Linked DNA regions of Mus musculus. The protein of the gene in region 2 binds, or shares a complex with, the protein of the main gene of each other region. Links are inferred from orthologs where the notes say so. Each region holds a gene or a part of one and is shown on either strand. Other genes may lie near its edges.

The links.
Region 1: Tbl1xr1 (region 2) and Gps2 share a complex: the UniProt entries of both Homo sapiens proteins name them as parts of the N-Cor repressor complex. The link is inferred for Mus musculus from reciprocal best matches to the Homo sapiens genes TBL1XR1 and GPS2.
Region 3: Tbl1xr1 (region 2) and Hdac3 share a complex: the UniProt entries of both Homo sapiens proteins name them as parts of the N-Cor repressor complex. The link is inferred for Mus musculus from reciprocal best matches to the Homo sapiens genes TBL1XR1 and HDAC3.
Region 4: Tbl1xr1 (region 2) and Coro2a share a complex: the UniProt entries of both Homo sapiens proteins name them as parts of the N-Cor repressor complex. The link is inferred for Mus musculus from reciprocal best matches to the Homo sapiens genes TBL1XR1 and CORO2A.

The regions. Positions count from the first base shown.
Region 1 is NC_000077.6:69,911,569-69,917,893, forward strand, and holds Gps2 (G protein pathway suppressor 2), read left to right. Parts: upstream 1-2,451; 5' UTR 2,452-2,771; coding exon 2,772-2,865; intron 2,866-3,183; coding exon 3,184-3,293; intron 3,294-3,364; coding exon 3,365-3,477; intron 3,478-3,570; coding exon 3,571-3,650; intron 3,651-3,739; coding exon 3,740-3,822; intron 3,823-4,062; coding exon 4,063-4,216; intron 4,217-4,296; coding exon 4,297-4,386; intron 4,387-4,464; coding exon 4,465-4,544; intron 4,545-4,629; coding exon 4,630-4,725; intron 4,726-4,851; coding exon 4,852-4,935; downstream 4,936-6,325. Other genes in the region: Neurl4 (neuralized-like protein 4), read left to right, coding at 1-20, 174-286, 361-526, 1,559-1,763; Eif5a (eukaryotic translation initiation factor 5A-1), read right to left, coding at 5,871-5,933, 6,029-6,160. UniProt on the Homo sapiens protein: Key regulator of inflammation, lipid metabolism and mitochondrion homeostasis that acts by inhibiting the activity of the ubiquitin-conjugating enzyme UBE2N/Ubc13, thereby inhibiting 'Lys-63'-linked ubiquitination.
Region 2 is NC_000069.6:22,201,129-22,206,692, reverse strand, and holds part of Tbl1xr1 (F-box-like/WD repeat-containing protein TBL1XR1), read right to left. Parts: intron 3,597-5,564; coding exon 3,469-3,596; intron 2,867-3,468; coding exon 2,701-2,866; intron 853-2,700; coding exon of another isoform or gene 820-852; exon of another isoform or gene 1-819. UniProt on the Homo sapiens protein: F-box-like protein involved in the recruitment of the ubiquitin/19S proteasome complex to nuclear receptor-regulated transcription units. Plays an essential role in transcription activation mediated by nuclear receptors.
Region 3 is NC_000084.6:37,940,144-37,945,707, reverse strand, and holds part of Hdac3 (histone deacetylase 3), read left to right. Parts: coding exon 1-14; intron 15-140; coding exon 141-197; intron 198-312; coding exon 313-368; intron 369-682; coding exon 683-816; intron 817-1,498; coding exon 1,499-1,579; intron 1,580-1,930; exon of another isoform or gene 1,931-1,956; coding exon 1,957-2,030; intron 2,031-2,187; coding exon 2,188-2,252; intron 2,253-3,740; coding exon 3,741-3,830; intron 3,831-3,941; coding exon 3,942-4,000; intron 4,001-4,249; coding exon 4,250-4,329; intron 4,330-4,597; coding exon 4,598-4,755; intron 4,756-5,564. UniProt on the Homo sapiens protein: Histone deacetylase that catalyzes the deacetylation of lysine residues on the N-terminal part of the core histones (H2A, H2B, H3 and H4), and some other non-histone substrates.
Region 4 is NC_000070.6:46,598,012-46,604,062, reverse strand, and holds the start of Coro2a (coronin-2A), read left to right. Parts: upstream 1-2,133; 5' UTR 2,134-2,246; intron 2,247-6,051.

The DNA.
Region 1 (6,325 bases), on a different chromosome or scaffold from region 2:
TGGTGCAGGTTCAACCTTAGGTACATACAGGCCTCAGGCATGTATTTTCCTCTGGGCAGTTTTCCCTGAGAAAGGAAGAGTCCCAAGAGGGGCAAGATGACAGCATTCCTTGTGTGGGGGTGACCTTGAGGAACCAGTGACCTTTGACTCGGTGGTCTTATCTGTCCTTTTAGGGTGAATCCCCATCTGGAAGCTGGCACACTAACAAAGAAGTGGCACATGGCATATCATGGAAGCAGTGTAGCTGTTGTGCGGAGAGTGCTGGACCGAGGGGAGTTGGGAGCAGGTATCATGGAGTGGGCTGTGCTGAGGGATCTTGGGAGGAATCATGGGGCTGCCCTCACCCAGGTCTCTTCACAGGTACTACCTCCATCCTGAGCTGCCGACCTTTGAAGGGAGAGCCTGGGGTGGGATTTGAGGAGCCTGGTGAGAACTGTGCACCTCCCCGGGAAGAGCAGCCCCCTCCAGTGCTGCTCTCCCCCTCCCTTCAGTATGCCGGGGCAGAGATGCTGGCCTCCAAAGTGCAGTGAGTACATGCCGGGAGCACTAGGGGCTCAGGGCTGTGCTCAGTCACCCACCGCACCCTTCCTGCCCTGCTTGTTCCTGGATGCACCTTTACCTGTCACTGTTCCTCCTTCCCTCCCGTAATACACACGCATGCGCGCGCACACACACACATATGCACGCACACACACACAGAGGCACGGTTTCTCTATGTATCCCTGGCTGTCCTAGAACTCATTCTGTAGACCAAGTTGGCCTTGAACCTAGAAATTCTAATTCCAGTGCTGGGATTAAACACATGGGCCACAGGGAATCAGATTCCATTATAGATGGTTGTAAGCGGTGCTGGGAATTGAACTCAGGACCTCTTGAAGAACAGCCATCTCTCCAGCCCCTTTTGGTTTTTTTGTTTTTGTTTTTGTTTTTGTTTTTCTTAAAACAGGATGTCAAGTAGTCCAAGCTGGCCTCACATTCATGTTTGGTTTGTATCTGAAGCCGGCCTTGAACACTCAGTTCCTGGTTCCATCTCCATGCTGAGTGTGGATTAGATGAGTGCATCTGTAGGCCTGTTTTTCTGAATGTGTATGGATACCAAGTCTTTCAAAATATCCTGCACCAGGCAATGGGTTTGACCCCTTGTACTACCTAAACTGTGCTTGCGCATTGTAACAAATTCCTGGAGTCCTAACACTAAGTGGCAGGGTCAGTGGGTCGGAAGTTTAAGGTTGTCCTTCCTTTATAGGGAGGTTGACTCCAGCCTGGTAGAGACCCTATACTGTCTCCCAAAAGTGGGTGAAGTAGATGAGAAGTGCACTTGGAGTGTTTGGAAGACGTGAACTAGAGTGCCAGGGTAAATAAACACATGAAGAGTGCTGGGGAGGAGTTAGCTGAGCAGGCCAGGGGAGGAGAGTACTACATACACAATAGTTGGTGCTAAGCCAGTCACGGTGAACAGTATTTCCCAGAAAACAGCAAGGCCTGGGTGGAGGGGGCAGAATTAGCAGTCATGGACCTTGGGAGCCTTACTCTTCTCTCGTTTCTGCTTGGCTAACAGATTCCGGGACCCAAAATCCCAGCGGACACACCAGGCTCAGGTGGCCTTTCAGGTGTGTGTGCGCCCTGGCTCCTATACTCCTGGCCCTCCCTCTGCGGCCCTCAGAGAACTTCCTGACCAGCACTTCAGCCCATCGGAACTTGAGTGGGTCACTAAGGAGAAGGGAGCCACACTCCTCTATGCCCTGCTGGTACGAGTGGAATAAGGGGTGACATACCACTACTCCAAGCACAGCCGGGCCTCAAGCCCAGGACTCTTGAATGACGACTGCCTCCACCTCATTCCCGTGACTGAGAGCATGTCCAGTGCTGTCCTGGCAAGGAGGAGCACGTAGGCAGGCTTTGATTTAGAGCAGGTGTGAAGCACATCTCTACATTCAGGGCCCAGCACACTCCCTCTGCTGAGAGGGAGCCCAGCTCGTCTCGGGGTCCCCCCTTCATGCACTGACTTGGGGAACATGACTCCCTATTATTACCCTCCCCCATATCACTTAATTTATTTCCGTTTTTGTTTCTGGTTACTGTGAATCCCAAAGGAGTCTCTCTGTGCCCACATGAAGCTGCTTTTTCCGTGGCCACTGGGCGCCATGGGGAGGGAGTGGGTAAAAGGAAGGGCTGCCCGAGGACGCTGTGGGCCTCTGTACAGTTGTTACTGACTCTGATTTCTAAGGAGCCAATAAATACTGTCTTCAGAGCATCTGCCTCCGCCTCTGTCTCCCGCGGCCTCGCGAGTGAAGAGTTCTAGGGGCTTTATCATCCCAGGCCGCTCTGTAAATCCACATGGAGTTTGGACATCCCGGCACCCGTCTCTAAGCGCTTCCGCCTTCCCTTTCCTCCAATCGGCTGTGCCGTTTGCCGTCGTGACTCCGGAAGGATTTATCCTGGCCGCCGGATATGACGTAGAGGCCAAGGCGCGCCGAAGGCCTCGGAGAAAGCGCCGACAAGGCGGGTTGCGGGGGTTGGCGCCAGGGCTACGAGGGAGGGGCGGGGGCGCGGAGCCTAAGACCCTCGCACGCGCCCCGGCGCTGAGGCAGAGACCCCGGAGGGACGCTGGTGCCCGGGACACGTGATCGAAGTGGCGAGCGGGCGGCGGACGGGCTTCCGCTTCGGCGCGTCGCAGTCTCTCTAAGCTCCCACTTCCCTGCAGGCCCCGCCTGAGGTCTGGCAGTCAGTGAGAGTCGGGTGCCCACTGCCCAAGCGTCACCAACAGCATCATGCCCGCACTCCTGGAGCGCCCCAAGCTTTCCAACGCTATGGCCAGGGCTCTGCACCGGCACATCATGATGGAGCGGGAGCGCAAACGGCAGGGTGAGCCTGGGCCAGAGCGGGAGGACAGACACTCGGCTCAGGGTGGCCCTGCTACCCACGAACTTGCCCCCATCCACGGGCCCAGCTGTGCGCCTGCTGGCGAGGCTAAGAGGGAGGCAGCGGCGCCTTCGGGGTGTGAGTGAAGAGGCCCAGTCTAAGTTCCAGACCAGAACCCTGGGCTGGGAAGGACCTTGGAGAGCACCTAATGAAGCCAAGTTCTCCCTGTGGCTGTGATGGAGTAACTGGTTTTTGCTGGTCTTCAGTCTAACGCTCAGCTTATTCACACCGCCTTGCCACTTCCCCGTTCTGATTCTTCAGAGGAGGAAGAGGTGGACAAGATGATGGAACAGAAGATGAAAGAAGAGCAGGAGAGAAGAAAGAAAAAGGAAATGGAAGAGAGAATGTCACTAGAGGAGACCAAGGAACAGGTAAGTAGCCTCTCCACACTTGTTTCTCGATGCCTTCTTTTCCCTGCTTTAGCTGCTCGTCCCTCTTCCAGATCCTGAAGCTGCAGGAGAAGCTTTCTGCTCTACAGGAGGAGAAGCACCAGCTTTTCTTGCAGCTCAAGAAAGTTTTGCATGAGGAAGAAAAACGGAGGCGAAAGGAACAGAGGTGTGATGAGATGGCTAAAAGTAAAATTGTGCAGTGGCACAGGTGACAATCTAATAGCAAGAGGCTAACTGACCTGTCTTCCTTCCACTCCAGTGACTTAACCACTCTGACATCAGCTGCATACCAGCAGAGCCTGACGGTTCATACAGGAACCCACCTCCTCAGCATGCAGGGTGAGAGGACTGAGGAAACCGCCTAACAGGGGAGTTCTCCAGGAGGTCGCTGCCTATTTTAGCATCGTGAAACCTCTCCCCCTTTCTAGGGAGCCCTGGAGGACACAATCGCCCAGGTACTCTGATGGCAGCTGACAGAGCCAAGCAGATGTTTGGACCACAAGTGCTTACGGTGAGGGAAAGGTTTTTTGATTTTTTTTAACTCTTCAGGCTGGCTTTTTAAGTTACTAGCCAAGACTAGTCTTGAAATCTGATCCTAACTCCATGTCTCCTCCTTCTGTGGATCAGTACTGTTAATCCCAATCATTCAAGAACAAATATACCAAGCATGTGTATGTAGGAGCTGAGCGTAAAGGCATATATATATACATATGGGGTTTTTCCTAAGCAGTGAGCTTTCATTTCCCCTTAGACCCGGCACTACGTGGGATCAGCAGCTGCTTTTGCAGGAACCCCAGAACATGGACAATTCCAAGGCAGTCCAGGGGGTGCTTATGGGACTGCTCAGCCCCCACCTCATTATGGGCCAACACAACCAGCCTATAGTCCTAGCCAGCAGCTCAGAGGTGAGTGTTGTTCTCCTCAGACTAGGGGCAAGAAGAGCAAGAGCATCAAACCCTAACAGATCATCTCCCACCTTCCTCAGCCCCATCAGCATTTCCTGCAGTGCAGTACCTATCTCAGCCACAGCCACAACCCTATGCAGTGCATGGCCACTTTCAGCCCACTCAGACAGGTGAGATCCCCCTGGGCAGGAGCCCTACCTTCAGGAGTCCTACTGCCACCTGCTCATTTCAAACTCTCCTCCCCTCAGGGTTCCTCCAGCCCGGCAGTACCCTCTCTTTGCAGAAACAGATGGAGCATGCCAACCAGCAGACCAGCTTCTCGGACTCAGTGAGTATGGAGTCCTGGGAGGCCAAGGTGCTAAGATGAGGGGAGCCCCAGGATGCCTCCCTTTAAGGTCAGCTTTGTCTCCTAGTCTTCTCTGCGGCCCATGCACCCCCAAGCTCTGCATCCAGCCCCTGGACTCCTGGCTTCCCCCCAGCTTCCCGTACAGATACAAGCAGCAGGGAAGGTAAGGCTGGCAATCAAACCTACATATACTACCAGGGAAAGACTAACCTCTTACTGTAACTGTCCCCTCCCCCTTGTGCTGAGTGCTGGAATACCTACCCACTGATAAAACTCTTATCATTACCAGTCAGGCTTTGCCACCACCAGCCAACCTGGCCCCCGACTCCCTTTCATCCAACACAGCCAGAACCCAAGATTCTATCACAAGTAACCACCAGAGAGCTCCAGCCCACCCTCCATCCCTCAGGCTGGGGTCTTATGTGCCCCAAACCAATAAAATGTACAAAATGTACCCACCATCATGCCTGAGTGCTGTTTATTTGCTTCCTATCCAACTGCCTAAACCACAAAGGCTACTATGAAGTCTCAGCATTTCTAGATTCTAAAAGTACCTTTCAATCAACAAATAAACAACTGAGTTGGGGGCTTCATATTAAACTTGTAGTTTTATTCAGGTTTGATTTTTAACAAATGTGTCAGGGAGAGAGCCCACAGGAAAGGGTAAAGCCCGTGGGGGCAAGGCCTTCCCAGATGCCTGAGGAGGGATCGTGTCCCCTCCCCCCCTCCTCTTCTCACCACCCCTACAGGGGTTTGGGAAGAGACACAGGCAGGGAAGGGGCTGGTCCCCAGTCTGTACAGTGGTGCTTGGGGGTGAAGGACTATGGAGAACAGGGGACCAGATCGGGGATGAGTAGGATAAAGGGCACAAGACCATTTACCAGAATCCAGCTTTCTGATTCCAAATTGAATTAAAAAGAAAAAAAGGAGAGGGGAACCTAAACCACAAGCAGTACCCAACTCCCTTTCCCCCATCAGGGCTGCGAGAGAAGAGGCAGGGAGTTTCACCAAGGCCATGGCTCCCTCATTCCTGGCCAAGGGAGCTAGGTGAAGGGCAGGGTCTCCCCGACAGTTTGAGGGGGTGAGGAAAACCAAAATAAAACGTCAAATAAATTTGAATAGGAGTCCAGCCAAGGGCCCAGCCAGAGCAGAACCTGGCTGGGGGAGGGGCCTCTGTAGGCTCATGGATCACTGCTGCCACCACCGCCACCCTGGGCAAGAGAAAGAAATCATGTTTAAGATATAGGATGTAACTTCAACAGTAAGTGTGGGGACAGTGGGGGGTGCGTTCTCTCACCTGGAAGCCGGTTATTTTGCCATGGCCTTGATTGCAACAGCTGCCTCCTCTGTCATGGCAGACAGCACTGTGATCTGGAAAAGCAAAATGACAGTCCAGAGATGCCTTAACTGAAAGACTTCGAATTAAGGATCAAAGCAGCATACAAAGCAAGGAGGGGGCATCGTACCAGGATCTCTTCTCCACAGTCATACTTCTGCTCAATCTCCTTGCCAAGGTCTCCTTCAGGCAGACGAAGGTCCTCTCGTACCTCCCCACTGTCCTGGAGCAGGGATAGGTACCCATCCTGGATGCCAATCAGCTGGGAGAAGTTAAAAGCAGGTACAAGTAGGTTAAGTATAAGAGAATGGACAGACCAACTACAGTGACAGCAACTTCCTTCACTCCACAGCCTTTACCAGCTCCCTCTTTCCCCACAAGGTGCAGTCAACACCGCCCCCACATACACACTCTTCTAAGCCACCAA
Region 2 (5,564 bases):
TGAACCCATAGCTTCCTTTGTGAGTATCCACAAACAAATACACACATACACATATACAGATGTGCAAATACACTTGAACAAATGTCCATACAAGCATTAAAAAAGGTTTTGATGCCTTTTTTTTAAAGAATACTATATTTCACCAATAACAAAATAAATCAAACCACTTATTTTCGACATGTATAAACTCCTGTGGTTATAAAGCAGAAATGATTGGTGCACATCACAATCTTCAAAGGACATGTAGTATATATCGTACTATTCTGTGTATGCACTGGCTATTATGGGAAGTGCTGACAGCTCTTCGACTGAATCAGCAGATAGGAAGTTAAACATTTTACTTGTGTCAATAAAAACAATTAAGCTGAAATCCTTTTGAGAACCAGAAGAAAGATATCTACAAGAAACATGGCAAAATGTCCTTATAAAGTAAATCTGAGACTTATGTTAACCCTATTATTTGTATTTACATTTAGCCTTAGATACACATCACTGTGTTCAGCTTTTAAAAGTTGAACTGGGTACATCAGTGCTCTCTTAGGAAAGGTGAGAAATGGTGGTTTTAAACATGTATTTCATAAGTACAGAATTTGCCTGGCATATACTCATAAAGAAAAAAAATGAAAGAAGAGAGGTAACATACTATCTATGAAGACACTATGGGAAAATTTTTGTTTTAAATCAGGAATAGACCTCTGATCTCAGCACTTGGGGGTGGGGTCAGAAGGATCTCAAACTATTAACAATCTAACTGAAAAAGGAAAGGACATGATCTGCGCGGGCCTCAAGTTCACAGGAGGAGGCTGCAGGAGCTGATGATTACGTGACGTGAAATCCCAGGCACAGCAAGCACTGAGCAGAGGAGAGACAGAAAATGGAAATGGGAGACGATCAGTGCCTATCACTTCAGTCAATAAAGTCAGAATACATCTTTTAAAAAACCCCCACCACAAAGGTAGCTAATCCAGTCAATTTGTTCACCCAAAGTGAACCAAAGAAGCAAATGACAGATATGGCCAACAAGTGTTTTTCTATGTTTTCAAAACCCCTGGCCATCAGAGAAAGGTGAACTGAAACTACTTTGAGCTTCTAATTACCCCAGACAGAATGGCTGTCAGGAAAAAAGTGCTAACATGCTGGAAGGAGTGCAAACTAGTACAACACTGCAGAATTCACTATGGAGGGTCCTAGAGTAAGTGACAGAAACAGAGGAGCTGTGCCCCAAGCACACAGATGAAATGAAGGACCCAGTCAATACACCACAGAAACATGTACACAGCTGTACTATTCAAGATGAGAATCAACACATGAATAACGAGAGCAGAAGAAACATGCATACACAATGGAATGTTATGTAACCTTAGAGGAAAAATAACCATAATATTTTACAGGAAAATCGGTAGAACTGGGAAGTATTATTAAGCAAAATATGCCAGACTCAAATGACAAATACGTTTCCTCTCATGAATATACTGCATTAGTTAGCGTTTATTAATGTAGGTTGGAGTGCATGTCATGAAGCTAGAGACGGGTTTATGAGAGGGCTTAGAGTGGTCTTAATGAGGAGAGAGGACAGCATGAGGCTGGAACAGCAGCTGGGGGAAGGGAAGGGAAGGGAGGGCAGAGTCACCGAGAGGCGCAGGAAACAGGCTTAATAAAAAAATCAAAGCAGCCGGGTTTGGTGGCGCCCGCCTTTAATCCCAGCACCTTTAATGAGGCAGAGGCAGGCAGACTTCAGAGTTCAAGACCAGTCTGGTCTACAAAGTGAGTTCCAGAACAGCCAAGGCTACGCAGAGAAACCCTGTCTCAACCCCCTCCCCCCCCCAAAAAAAAATCAAAGCACAAAGTGCCATAATGGTGTTCTTTAGTTTAAATGCTAGTTTTTTAAAGTAAAATTCAAGAGAATTTTCAAAACTACTTACTGAAGAAGTCAGCCTACTTACTGAAGTACATAAGGATACTCAGCTTCATTTCACATAATAATGTAAGCTTGAACCCTCCCTGAACTGGACTCCTGCTGAGTATGAGCCAGAAGCATGGTGCTTTGTGCAGTAAAGATGCAAGAGAGCTAAGAAGAAAAGTCATTGTTGGCCATGAAGGCAAAGATGGCCAAAAGCTCCTCACTATGGCCCTTCCTGAGCCATCAGATATAGAATTTAATGAAAGATACTCAAATATAAATGGTTTAGAGCAAGTAACGCATCAAATAAAATATAGTGGGAATCTAGTACAGATCAGGAAATGGCAGCCTGTAATGTATTAGTATGCACTACACCAACGCAGACCTGGGGAACATAGGGCAGTTCATAGGGCACAAAAGCTATAAAGAAAAGTGAAAGCAAAAGCAACAAACTGGCTTCTATTTGGGGGTAGCTCCTTGCCATCCCTGAAAAGGCAGCCAACCAAGTGTGAAGTCACTAAAGAGATCTTGTCCTTTAACCTCAAGAAAGGTTAAGTTCACCGTAAGCTTCATTTCAAATATACTATGCTGCTCAAGTAAAAAAAGACATCTATTTCTAAATTGACTTTGCACATAAAATGCAACTTTCAGTCAGTGTTGATTCAGCTATAAAATGCCCCAAAGTGTTCTTAGATTCTTAAAACTAAGCATCACATTGATATCACATAAAGAAAAACAAAAATATAAGTAAATCGGTAAATGCTTCTTTAGTAAGTGCAGCTTAAATTAATGGGACGTACCTGTGTGTTCCAGATGTGCACACACTTGTCAAAAGAACCACTTGCCAGATACCTGCCATCAGGACTAAAAGCCACACTGTACACGGGCTCTTGATGTTTTGTCAAAGTATGGATGCAAATCCCTCTGTCTACGTCCCATAACCTAACTGTAGAATCAAAGGATGCACTAAAAAATGGAAAAGGAAAATAATTTTATAAGCAATCAAATACTCTCTTGGCCTTGCCCCTAGCCTCCCACATTCTGCCCATCCTAAGAGGCTAGCAAACTAAACGGCTAAAATTCAAATAGTGTGGAAACTGGGAGGGAAACATGAAAAGGACGGAAGGCCCTGACCCCTGCCCACTCAGGTAACTCCCAACAATCCTGATTATTGGTCCTTGGTTCTGAATCTCTCTCTTTTTTTTTAAAAAAAAAAAAAAAAAGGTTGCTGATGGACTTTTATTATCCTATGCCCAAATGATCTGCTGTTAACTGAAATAGAGTCTCACTATAGAGCCCATGTTGATTTCAGGCACACTGACTTAAGTGTAGGATTTTAAGTGTGGGTCAATATGCAAAACCTAACTATTGGGTTTTATTCATATTGGATTTTATATCAATAGATACAAAAAAGCATTAAGTCCTGAAATTCTAATATTAAAAACCCATGTTTAAAGTTTCCCACTGAAATATATCCACCTCAAGATATGTTCCCTGTTTTCTGCCATTTTTTCCCAAAAGTTTTATGCATGAGAAACTCAACAGGAAAAGTGAAACAGACACATCACCTTGCTAGCATAAGGTTGGCATTTGGATTATTTGTCCCTGGTCCTGTTGGACTCCACTTAATAGTATAAATTTCTTTATTATGTGCTTGCAAATCATGGACACAGTTATCTTGCTTCATACTCCAGATCTAAATCAAAAGAAAAAATGTGGTAGTTTTCTGTACAACAGATACTTTTAAAAGCCATGATCTTTAAAGTAAACAAAGAAACAAAAAATACCACAGCCAAACATCAAGAGAATAACAACAAAGAAATGTAAGAGTAAAAATAATAATAATAATAATAATAATAATAATAATAAATAAATAAATAAGGAGAAAAAAAAGAAGTGTAAGAGTAGTTGAATAAATGAATATTTGATCCAAATATTCCTGATTGCAAAACTTGAAGGCTGAGTGGACTAACTCATCTCAACATTTACAAAGTCCTTGAACTAGGTAGGTAGGTAGGTAGGGTTCCAATAACTCGGCAAGGGGAGTCCAGAGGGGGGTGGGCAACGAGTGGGGGTAGGAATGTGTGAAGCCCCTTGTTCAGTTCCCAACACACAAATACAAACACCAAAAACAACTGGAAGTCACATTCTTTAAATGCAGTAACAGCTAAGTAACAGTGCCTTATAGCTCAGGTGTTTACAGTCCTAGGAAATGAAGCTGACCCATCCATTTCTAAAACTCTGCTTTTGTTTTCAAGCTTTGGGCACTGGGGAGCTTACCATTGTCACTCCTGCAACCCTTGTCACACTCCTCTTTCCACTTTTCGACTCTTCTTCATCTAGGGGACTCTGTTTCATGAGGTTTATCATCCTATAGCCTGCTGTTCATAACATATCACCATTTCATTTCTGCTTTGAAATCCTCTGTGACCCAAAATTCTTTGTTGGGTGAAAAAAAGCTGCAATCTAGACCCCAAGGTGTCTAGTTCTAGGCTCTTCAGCTTGCAGCTCAATCTACCAAACAAACTTCTCTGAACACTGGCATTCCTTCATTGTATAAGACTTAATGCATGTGGATGAGAAGGAAATACAGAGGAAGAGATACAAGGAAGCCAGTATGGTGGCTTCATCCTATACCCAGGGCTTGAGGATGTGCAGGATCTCAAGTTCAAAGCCAGCCTGGGCTACACGGTGAGATTATGGCACACACACAAATCAAAAACAAAAACATAAACAAAACCAACCACAACAAAAACAAGGCTAAAGATGCAGCTCAGGTTGTCATGCTGCCTTAGCATTCCCAAGTCCTACATTTGATCCTGGAGGTTAAGGGAGGAGAAGGCACACTTAGCCTCTTCCCAGAAAACCAAGTTATTTTCCTGCAGGACTACCCTATTTGTAAGAGCTGTCACTATGGTACTGAAGCTAAGGATAAATGTTTTCAGTAGAGCATGTGTGGCATGAAGAAGTGAAAAGGCTCAGTCACTGCAGAGACTAGCACTAGGCTGGTCTTTACTTCCACATAATGCTTCACTCCTTGTGGGATAAGGTCACATCACACTGTGTTCATGGATGGCTAGTTCCCTATCTCACCTTGACCAACGCATGGGAGACTCAGATATCTTGCCTAAGCATTATTTCCTGTGTCACTCAGTAAGACCAAAGCAGACTGCATTCTCCATGTTGATGGGCAGCATTCATGTAGGCAGCTTCAATACTGAGCTGAAATACAGGTTTTCTGCCTTCAGCCTGGGCCTTAACCAATGGCCCTGGCACTACTTGAGCTTCAAGTTTGGAACCACACGACTACCTATGGCGGTTTGGATCAGAATGGCCCCCATAGACTTATAGATTTAAATGCTTAGTCCTCAGTTGGTGGAACTACTCTGGAATGAGGAGGAGGTATGGCCTTGTTGGATGATGCTTTTACTTCAAAGACTGATACCATTCCCATTGCACTCCCTCTCTCTGCCTTGGGATTGTTGACATAAGCCACTGCCTTGCCTGCCTGCCTGCCTGCCTGCCTGCTGTCATGCTCCTTGCTATGGTCATGGATTCACCATCTGAAACTGTTAGGCCCAATAAACCCTTCTTCTATAGGTTGCCTTCATCATAGTATCTTAGCATAACAAAAGTAAGACACTAGCTTTCCTGGGTTTCCAGT
Region 3 (5,564 bases), on a different chromosome or scaffold from region 2:
AGCTAAACAACAAGGTGATGTAACCCTGAGTCTTGGTCCTTTTTCCTGTGGGTTTCCAGATTCAGGACCATAGAGCCTTGATCTGGAACCCAGCTTCAGTGGTGGGCAAGAAAAAGACTGAATGGGTGTTTATCTTTCAGATCTGTGATATTGCCATCAACTGGGCCGGTGGTCTACATCATGCCAAGAAATTTGAGGTAAGGTTGCAATGGGGAAAACTGTGGCTACCCTAGGTGAGGTCGGCTGAATGACAGTGCTGGGGTAGCTGGATAGAAGAATTGTTCCTCTGTTTATAGAACCATCTCCCCACAGGCCTCTGGCTTCTGCTATGTCAATGACATAGTAATTGGTATCCTGGAGCTGCTTAAGTAAGTATCGCCAGAGGAGATGAGAGACTTTGGGATGCAGGTCCTCAGGCCGTGGCCCAGCCCTGACCTCCTTCCCCACTGGCTTCTCCTAAGTTCTTGATGCTTCTTCCTGCTTGGCCCTGCTGCCTGCTCACATTTCAGCCCCGCTGCATGTTCCCTTTCTCCCCAGGCTCTAGCCTGGAGGAAGCTGGTGGGATGAGGTTTCAAGTGACTTGGCCAGAGGCAGACTCTAAATAATTCCAGAGATTGTGTTGGGGAGGAGAGGACTGGGTGATAAGCCTCTTCCTCAGAACATGGCTCTGTCCTCACACCAGGTACCACCCTCGGGTGCTCTACATTGATATCGACATCCACCATGGTGACGGGGTTCAGGAAGCCTTCTACCTCACTGACCGGGTCATGACTGTGTCCTTCCACAAATACGGAAATTACTTCTTTCCTGGAACAGGTAGGGAATAGAATTACTGTGGTTTTTTGTTTTTTGTTTTTTTTTTGTACCCCTTAGCTCTTTGTGTGTGTGTGTGTGTGTGTGTGTGTGTGTGTGTGTGTGTGTGTGTGTCTGTACAGAATCCTCCATAATCAGCATGCTGAATTAGGGAGACCAGGGATGTGCCATTGCCCCTGGCTGTCCTTCAGCTCTCTGCCATGACTGACTCCTTAGCCTTCTGGTCTTAAGTATTATGTCCTTTCTGCAGAGAAACCTTTCTGACCACTCCATTAAGTCAAACAGGTACCTCACCTTCTCTTTTTCTTAGAGTCCTCACTGCTAGTTGTATTTATTCTAGTTTTTATGTTCATTCTTTGTCTATTGCTACAGACCAGGCTGGCTTCTGCCTCTTGAGTGCTGGGATTAAAGGCATGAGCCACCATGCCCGGCTAAGTAAAATTTTTTGAACCAGACAAGGAGGTACATACCTATAATACCAATAATCAGATGGCCGAGACAGGCGAATTAAGAGTTCAAAGCTAACCTGGGTAATGCAACAAGTTCCTGGCCATCCTGAGTTACATAGCTGTGACCCTGTATTGAGTGAATGCAGGTTGCTGGAGCCTTGGTGGTAGAAGGCACAGAGGAACGGCTGTGTTGAGGGAACTTCCTGTGCACGGTCACTGCGCTCTCTTTTCTGTAGGTGACATGTATGAAGTTGGAGCAGAGAGTGGCCGCTACTATTGTCTCAATGTGCCCTTACGAGATGGCATTGATGACCAGAGTAAGTTCTGATGACTTCTCTCTGCTCACTCGTCTCCCCTTTTCTTCTCTTTCAATTAACCTCTTCTGCCTGGTATTGTCTATTGTTGGGCCAGGTTTCCTTAAGGACGAATGGCCTTCAGAGGGACCATGAACCCTTGGAATTTGTATGACATATATTATGTGTGTATACGTTTTGTTCATTTATTCTTCTGGGAGGAAGGTTGCTAGTGTTTAACTTGGCAGTTGTAACACCCTCCAGAAGTTCAGAACCAGTGGTTGGTTCTGTGGGTCGCCCCTTTCCTGGGCTACATGCTCTCTCAACCCCCTTTTTCCTTTTGTTCCCTGTCTCCCCATCCCCTTGGGGTGCCAGGTTGCCCACCTTTGGCCCTCTCCCAGGTTACAAGCACCTTTTCCAGCCAGTCATCAGCCAGGTGGTGGACTTCTACCAGCCGACGTGCATCGTGCTCCAGGTAACTCCCTTAGCACCTCCCTAAGAGGACTTGCCTGGGCTACAGGAAGGAGATCAGGAAGCGTAAGCTCCCTAAGTTGGTGAGGAAGGACGCTAGAGGACACTGATGTTCTGAGCATTCGTGCTACTGTAGCCATTTGGGATTTTCCTTTTTGCAGTGTGGCGCTGACTCCCTGGGCTGTGATCGATTAGGCTGCTTCAATCTCAGCATTCGAGGACATGGGTGCGTTGCCTTCCTTCTTGTTGTTATTTAAAGTTGTAATTTGTTGTTGTTATTATTATTAATTATTGCATATATATGTGTATATGATACACATACATACAATCAAAAATCTAATGAGGGAAAAAATAAGACAGGGTAACAACAGGGAATCTACTTTTTAATGGTACAGTTTTATTTAAGGGCTCACTGTGTGGCATAGGCTGGCTTTGAACTTGTGACCCTCCTGCTTGAGCCTCTGAAATTCTGGGATTACAAGCTCAGGTCACCACACCTGGCTTGGGAATGTATAGTAGACAGCATGCTTTGGGAAAGGTTTTCTGAGAAGGTGAAATGGGAGACCTGGAGACTAAGGAGTGAGCCGTAAAAGGAGAACAGAGAATCCTACTCCAAGCAGTGTGAAGGGCCAGTGCAAAGCCCTAAGACCGAAGTAAAAAAGAATTACTGTCTTGACAAGAGACAGTACAGCCTATGAGGCCAGAACATAGGCAGGTGCTATAAGCTGGCCAGGCTGAGAGTGTGCAGAGCTATTAGACCCTGTCTTCCATGGGTGATAGAAAACCGTTGAAGGATCTTAAACAGGGAAGTGACAGGGTCCAATGAGTTTGAGAGTTACTGTTCTGACTGCTAAATGAAGAAAGGGTTGGTGTGGGAGTTGGGGTCAGGGTGGGTAGTGGGCAGCCAGTTAGGAAGCCAATCACATTATTTGGGCAGGGCATGTGTTGATGGAGAGAAGTACGAGGTATGAAGGTATGTCCTGAAGCTTAGAACAGACATTCTGGTGGCGACACCGATGGGAGTAGTTGGGTAGCAGGCCAGGTGTGGCGGAGAGTAGTAAGCAAGGCCGTGAGGGTGTGCTTTATTTTAAAATGTTCACTGAGACACAACACAGTAAAGTACGCTAGTATTTTTATTTGTTCATTTGTGTGTTTGTGTGTGTGTGTGTGTGTGTGTGTGTGTGTGTGTGTGTGTGTGTGTGTGTAGCATATAGCTCAGAGCCAGGTGGGGACAGGGTGACTAGCACACTCAGTAAAAGTGCTTGCTATACAGAATGAAGACTTGAGTTTGATCCCAGAACTCATGTAAAAACACTAGGCCCGGTGGCACCCATTTATGATCTGTAATCCCAGCCCTGGTGAAGCAGAGACCAGAAGATTCATAGGGCTTGGTAGCCAGCCAGCTTAGCCTACTTGGCAAGTGCCAGGTTAAAAAAAAAAAGGTGGCTAGTATCTTTAGGCCAACACATGAAAATGTCTTCTAGCCCTTGTATACATGTGTGAACATACATGCACACATCCTCAGACACACATGCACTGGCACACATGTGAAGACAAACCCGTTTATACAAGTAGTCACACACAAAGAATGCAACTTTGAGTTATACTACACAATATGACAGAGAAATATTGTTGGTCAAGTCTTTGTACAATATTTCCAGTCATGTCTGGGGTCACATGTCTTAGATTTACCTAGTCCTCTTGTTTCTAACAGGGAATGTGTTGAATATGTCAAGAGTTTCAATATCCCTCTCCTGGTACTGGGAGGTGGTGGCTACACTGTCCGAAATGTTGCCCGGTGTTGGTGAGTGTTCTGTTCTACTACTCTGTGGTTCACGACAGACTCCCTAAAATTGGAGGGGTGGTCCTTTCAGCCCACGCCATCAACCCAAACCCCTCTGCTTGCTGGTTTCAGGACATATGAAACATCTCTGCTGGTAGAAGAGGCCATTAGTGAGGAACTTCCCTATAGTGGTAAGATCCACTTCATGATGCCACCACAGGGGGACACCATTCTCACCAGTCCTCAGAATGACCTTGTTTGGAGGGAAATTGCACCTTCTGGTAGCTCTGCAGACTAAATCCCTGTGCTCAGAGCAGAGCAAATACTCTTACACATGGGGACCAGGCCTCGGAGAGGAGATCAGAAAGCCATGGGATTCACTCTGGTGTCTCAGCCATACTCTTGTTCATCCCCTCTCCCAATTGCTTCTCATCTCTAAGAATACTTCGAGTACTTTGCCCCAGATTTCACACTCCATCCAGATGTCAGCACCCGCATCGAGAATCAGAACTCACGCCAGGTTAGCAGCTTGGAGAGGCTGGACACAGCAATGGGGGGGGGGGTTCAGGAGAGGTCCAGGAGGGGGGAAGTGGAGAGAGCAAGAGAAAGAATTTCTGGGCTGTCACTGTCGATCTTATCGTGGGGTTGTTGGGGAGGGACAGTTGCCAACTGAGGATCTGACCTTGAAATACTACCTTAGATCAGGACGGTCAGGGACGAAGGTGGGTAGGATTTCCTGTACTATAGGAATCACCCCAACACCGCTGACTTTCTTTCTTCTAAACTAGTATCTGGACCAGATCCGCCAGACAATCTTTGAAAACTTGAAGATGCTGAACCATGCACCCAGTGTCCAGATTCATGATGTCCCGGCAGACCTCCTGACGTATGACAGGACTGACGAGGCCGACGCTGAAGAGAGAGGTCCCGAGGAGAACTACAGCAGGTCTGGGGCAGGGGCTGGAGGGCAGGTGCTTCCTTAGGCTTGCAGAGAAGGCTTCCAAGTGAGAAGGCACAAGTTCATCTGGCCCTGGCTGGTTTCCTTTAGACTGCGAGCCTTCTACTCTTTTTGACACTTTTAAGAACAAAACAACAATAATATGAAAATATTATAAACATCAAAATATGTTGTGTTCACGTAGTTCCAGAATTATTCCATGGAAGTAGCTGTTATTTATGGCTTGATTTATGTATTATTTGAATAGATAATTTTCTATAGATTATAAGAATACTACATGCACATGTGCATATCCAGAATTTTATTTATACAGCTTTTTTTTTTCTTGATTTGTTGCTGGTTTTTTTTTGGGGGGGGGGGTGACACATGGTTTCCTCTGTGTGGACCAAGCTGGTCTTTAAATCAGATACCCTCCTGCCTCGGGTTTCTAAATGCTGGGATTATAGGCATGGACTGCTTGCTCTACCCAGCTTGTTTATACATTTTTTTGTTAATCCGTGGGAGGATATTTTCTATATGTTGTTTGGAGTTACACTTGCCTGTGTCAGTGTGTGTAGATCAGTGTTTTCTCAGTTGTATAATTCCATTGTGTGGTGGTCACATGATTGCGAGGGTAATCAGTTACCACTTGTGGATATTTACCCCACTGCACCGTCCCCTCCCTTTCTTTTGTGGCTACAAAAATAGTGAAGACTGGCACTGAATCCCTCTATGTATGTATGTCTCTATGTATGTTTCTCTGTATGCTTGTTTGAGTGGGTCCAGTTTTCATAGCTGTTGCCATTAGGGCAAATGAG
Region 4 (6,051 bases), on a different chromosome or scaffold from region 2:
AGAGGGATACGCCCCCAAACTACTTTGTTCAAGCTTATATCCCAAATAGACCCTTGCCCAGGGGCTATCTTCTCCCAGTACAACACACACACACACACACACACACACACACACACACACACGGCCACATTCTACAGGACAAGTAGAAAGTCAATCAGTGATGTCTCCCAACCCAACACGTCCCATAGTGTCTGACCCCATAGTGTCTGAGCAGGCCCTGGTAGGCTGTGTCCCCTTGTGTGTAACTTAGGGGTTGTCAGGGGCTGCCTTCCACACCTGAGGTAGGATTAGGAACCGGTAAGAGGACACAGGGAAAGCCCCTCCCCAGACACAGAAGAGGCATGCCAGGTTCCAGGTCTCCCCTCTGATTTACGGGTCCACGTGCCCACAGTCCCCCAGATAATCCTGTCAAACAAGCCTGTCCCAACAGACAACTGGCCTGGCACCATGAAAAAAGAGTTTCTTTTAAGATGATTTTGAAAGAGACCTTCCAAAGGAGATGATGCGAGCGGGAGCTTGGGAATGATGCTGAGAGAGAGAGGACCACCAGACCCTAGCCTCCGCCTTTACTGTGTTGGGGCATCCAGATGAGTCAGCCTGCTCCAGGGTAAAGCCAAGTCAGAAACACTGTGGTGGGCCTGGCATGGTGGCCCCAGCCTTTAGGAGGTAGACAGGAGAATGAGTTCATGGGTTCTTCTTAGTTCATAGACAGTCTAAGACCGACCTGGGCTATGTGGGACCCTCCTTAAAAAAATTAATAAATGGGCTGGTAAAATGCCTAAGAGGGTGATAGTGCTGTCTCAGGAGCCAGGCAGCCTGAGACCTGTCCCCAGGAACCATGTAAAAAGCTGAATGCAGCCCTCCTACTTGGAGATGGGAGGCATCTGATATATTGCCCGATAGCTCAGGGACAGTCAGCCAGGAATATGTAGCATTGCAGAAATAAGATGAAAGGAAAGAACTAACTTCTGAAAGTTTGCACACACACACACACACACACACACACACACACACACTCGTTAAAAAGTGACAAAAATGTTTTAGATTACCATGGACCCTTGAGGGCAAAGGTCCAACTGCTGCGGTTGTGCGCTGTGTGCTTCTGCCAGTGCAGCTCCAAGCGGGATGCAGGGGGAATTCAGACGTGGGAAACCCACAGCTCTAGGAAGAAAACCGGCCCAGGGCCCTGTGGTTCAGCAGGAACTAGAGGAAGGCTTTAGCGACTGCTGTTCTAAAGTGATCAAGGACTCACCAGAGCTGAGTGTGGTGGTGTAGTCCTACAATCCCAGCTCCTAGAGGCTGAGGGAGGAAGATGGCTAGTTCAAAGCCAACCTAAGCAATTTAGTGAACTCTTGTTTCAGAAAAAGAGGAGAGGTCTCACAGTGTAGCTCAAAGGTAGAATACTTGCCTGGCAAGCATATGCACGGTCCTAATGTTCAATCCCACCATCACAAATCATACACACACACACATTAAATTTGTTATAGAGCCTACCAAGAACTCAGCTAAAGTCTCAACTTCTTGTCTATGAAATGGGAGTATTATGACTACATTGAAGGCGTTGGTAGATCAAATGTAATAAATTGTGTTCTTAGTTAACAATATATACAATACCTACTTTGTGCCAGGTACAGTGCTAGTCTCCCTCCTCCCCCCCGCCCCCCACCAAACACATCACTACAAGACACGAAGAACACTTTCCAAGACAGGTGGTGTGGCGTGGTTATTATGAAAGATATGACGTCCTATCTTCCATATTCAGTGAGCACCCGGCTGAAAGAGGGAGCGGCTTGGACGCAGCGCCCCCTAATGGCAGCAGTGGGAAGGATCTCCCGGATGCGCAGCCGCCCTCCGCTCTCCAGTTCTCCCGCCGCCTGCAGAGCTGCGGTCCCGGCGCTCGCTGCGGGATCCAGCTTCGAGCCATCTGGGAGGCAGGCGCGATGACAGTCTCCATCTCAGCAAGGGGAAACTGAGGTTCGGGACCCGAGTCCCACCCAAAGCCTGCGGCGAGAGCGTGTCGGAGGCGAGAGTGTGTGCACGCGGGACGGGAACCGAGCTGCGGGCGACGGGCGGCGCACAGGCGGGGCCTCTCCGTCCCGCCCCGCCCCGACCCCGCCCGGCCCGGTCCCGCCCGCCGGGCTGCGCGGGGAGGCGGCGGCACTGGGCGCGGGGACTCGGCGGGCGGCGCGAAGCGCGGAGCGGGAGCCGGAGCCGCCGCCGCCGCCACCTGCGCGGCAGCCAACAAGGTAGGGTGGGACCGGGCCGGGCGGGACGCTCGCTGCGCCCGGGCTGCGGCTCTGTGGCGGGAGGGATGCTGTCCCCGGCGTCGCGGAGACCTATCCTCCAGACCCCCGCACGATCTCACACAAAGCTCTGCCCCGCTCCAGTCCTCAGTTTCCCCATCGGGATACTGGTGCGGCCGCTCCCTCAGTGGGTGACTAGGAGCAGCGACCCCCAGGTTCGCGCTCCAGAGGTTAGGGGCCAGTCCTTACCGCCCGCGCCTCTTGCGGCGGTGAGCGGCCCGCCCTGGGCGCGGCAGCCAGTCTCGACAGGCCCCGGTGTGGCCCAGGTGCCCCGTGGACCCGAGTCGTGATTGTTCCTGTCCTGGCTGGGTTACCCGCGGGGGCCTCAGCTTCCAGTCCCGGGAAACGGTGGAGGAGGAAGCATCCCTGAGTCCCTGCCGAGGCGACCTGGGCGCGCGGGTGGGGCGAGCAGTCTGCTACCCAGACCAGGCTCATCGCCTGGAGCTGGAGGAGGAGCCCCGCGCTGGCAATGGCCAGATCTCAGCCTCAGACCTGCCTGGACCCGAGCCGAGCAAACACCCACCTGCATTCGGGCAATGGAGAAGGACGTCCTGGTCCGCGCCCTGGCCAGCTGCCGGAGCCCAGTTCTGCGTACCAGCCTGGTGGGACAGGGTTGGTACTACCACACTCGGTCCTCAGTCCACTTGCCAGGAAAACAGTGTCTCCGGGGGTTGGGGGACTGAGCATGTATCTAGGGGTGCAGTGACTCCAGGATCTTTAAAGACCTCTGGTGTAGGGCTGGGAAGTTCTATAAGATGCCTTTTGATGAAGGTCTTATGTTGCATTCTTCTCGAGATGGGGACTCTCACTAGCGAAACTGGGGAATCTGGTCCCACTGTGGCTGCAATCCTGATAGTGTCCCTTAGCTAGCATGTGGCCCTTCTGTCTCAGAGCCTGCTCTTCTGCGAATGCTCCAGGGACTTGTTCATAACCACCTGTGCCTCAGCACAGGAATGTGTCCTTACACGTCCCTCGCCTCCAGACATCTCTTGAGGGATGTGGAGGGAGAGAAAGGCTTAAGCCCATCTCTGGACACTTCTGCCTCATTTCCTGACATCTGTCCCCACTAAGGAACAGGCTCAGCACCTCCTGATCGCCTGTCTCCCTCTCCCTCACCCAAGGACTTTCTTAAGGCTAAAAGAGGAGACCCTTCCCTTTCCCCAGGCCAGCGCCGGTAGTGAGCCCTACGTCATCTAAGTGTACAGGCAGAGGGCTGGGTGGGCATCATAGGGTGCTGTGCGTTGCCAGGGCCAAAGCAGTGTGGCAGGGGACCTTGCCCTGTGGCCCCAACCTGGAGCTTCGCTGCAAATGAGTGTTATTATCCCCTCATAAAGGGAGACTAAGTATAAGTGTGGCTGCCAGAGCCCAGCGCCAGCTCGAAAGCCTAAGTACCACCTGAGTCCCCTGTCATTGGGAACGTTTGTGATCTGGGAGGCTACAGTGATGGCGCATGAGCAGGCAGGTCCTGATTATTACAAAGTCATCCCGAACTTTAAAAATGTACTGTGGAGTTGTGGATTCTCTGACCTGAAAGGGTCTCTAGAAACCATCTCATCCCAGGCCCTTATTCTAGGGGCAGTCTAGAAACCGTCTATCTCATCCAACGCTCGTATTCTATGGGCATATAATCACCTGTCCCAGGAGGGGGTGTGCCTGGTAAAGGCCACACAACAAACCAGCCAGGAATCCTAATTCCAAGAATGGGGTGCTTAGCAGCTAGGGTGCAGCTCAGTCGGCAGAGTTCCATCCCCAAAACCGAATCGACCGAACTTGGAGATTCACTTGGAGGATGGGGAATTCATCCACCAAAGCCAGGCTATCCTCTGCTACAAATGGAGATCAAGGATAGCCTGGGGTACATGAGACCCAAGGGGTGGGGGTGGGGACATAAAACATATCATAAATGAAACAGTCTCATTGCTTCGTAAAAGCAACAGGATATAAACATAGAAGGTTAAAAAAACCGTGCTGGTAGCCGGGTGGTGGTGGTGCACGCCTTTAATCCCAGCACTCGGGAGGCAGAAGCTGGCGGATTTCTGAGTTCGAGGCCAGCCTGGTCTACAAAGTGAGTTCCAGGACAGCCAGGGCTATACAGAGAAACCCTGTCTCGACAAACCAAAAAAAAAAAAAAAAAAAAAAAAAAAAAAACGTGCTGGCAAGGTTGCAAGCTTTTGCCTGAGGTGTGTCATTTTGTAGAGTAACCATAGAAACAAAAGTCTGTGAAATGGATCTACCTGCCCTTTGCTCCCAGGCCTCTCCTTCGGGGACTTCACCCCTGAGGAGGTCACTAGAGAGACACGGGTGTATTACTGCTATCCTGGAGTGTCCTGACAGTGAAGAAACATTCTGAGACTTCTGGGACACTGAAAAAAAGGCTAAGAGGCAACGGCAAGATAATACATACACACACACACACACACACACACACACACACATACATGGCCCAAGTGGTCTGGAGGAAAGACCGTGAGACAGGGTGGCAGACACAAACCCTGTCCCCTCTGTGATCTCTGGCCTGCTGGTTTCCACCTCAGTTTCTCCATCTGGGAAGTGGGCGTGGCCTCGATGGTGACTGAGTCTGCACAGCTCAGCAATGGAGCCTTCTACAGGAGGAGCAGAGTGCTCTGGACATCCAGAAACTGCTGTCCTCCCTCCCTTCCCCAGAGATAAGTGCATTCCCTTGGGGAGGGCGGCCAGATCCCCCCAAGAGACCCTGCTTGAAGCTTTTGCTCTTTTCAAATAGCCCTGGATCAGACCTTGGAGAGCGTTCCCTCTTCTCTGCCAGGCAAGAGAAGACCCCAGGTGATGCTGCAGTTTTCATTTTGATGCAGAGGGCAGGGGAGGGGAGTGTCGTGTGTGTGTGTGTGTGTGTGTGTGTGTGTGTGTGTGTGTGTGTGTGTGTGTGTGTGTGTGTGTGTGTGCTCTTCCTCAGGGCAGTGAGGAGGCACTTGGCACTCCCACTCCATCCAAAGGGCCAAGATCTCTCTCTCTCTCTCTCTCTCTCTGGATTCCTTCTGCTGCTTATGCATTAGCCTAAACCACTCCAGAAAGGCTTATAGCAAACCTTTAAAATAATAATAATAGCAGTAGTAATGAATTCATGTGGTTCAACCTAAGCAGAAAAAGATATAGCTAAAGATGTTATTATGGTTCCTTACTGTAAGTGAGCCATGAGGTGTGGTAGGTGTGATTAGATTCGAAGTAAGGAAGTCTTGAGGGGCAGCCTGATCAATAACAGTGATGACAACCACGGGGCTACTGTTGATCAGCCCTTGCTACTCCGGGCCTCCTCCCCAGGCCGCCCCCAGTGTTTACCAAATGCCTTCACCAGAGAATAGGCCGGAAGGAGTTTGCAGTCTGTCTGATAGGGAAGGCAGAAGGTGACAGAAGAAAGAAAGAGCAAACAGGAGGGAGTGGAGGAATGTGACCACAGAAAAGGGGACAGCCATTCTAGGCAGGTAGGTGGCTTAGGGACTCTGAGAGGGTGACTTGGCCAAACAAGGCTGAACTGTGGGGCATGAGGGGGTGGGGAGAGGCAGTGAGAAGCCCCTAAGGTGGGCCGGCGCTAAGAAGAGCAGGAAATCAGGAAAGAGCAAGAAAACGAAGGGCAGAGGCCACGGTCCGGATTACCTAACCCACCCCACCCGTGTGCAGGGTGCAATCCTACAGGTTAGTGCGGGAGGTACTATTTTTAAGTCTCTCTTTCGGTTAGAAAAGCATGAGGTGCAGAGAAGCTTAGAAACTTGCA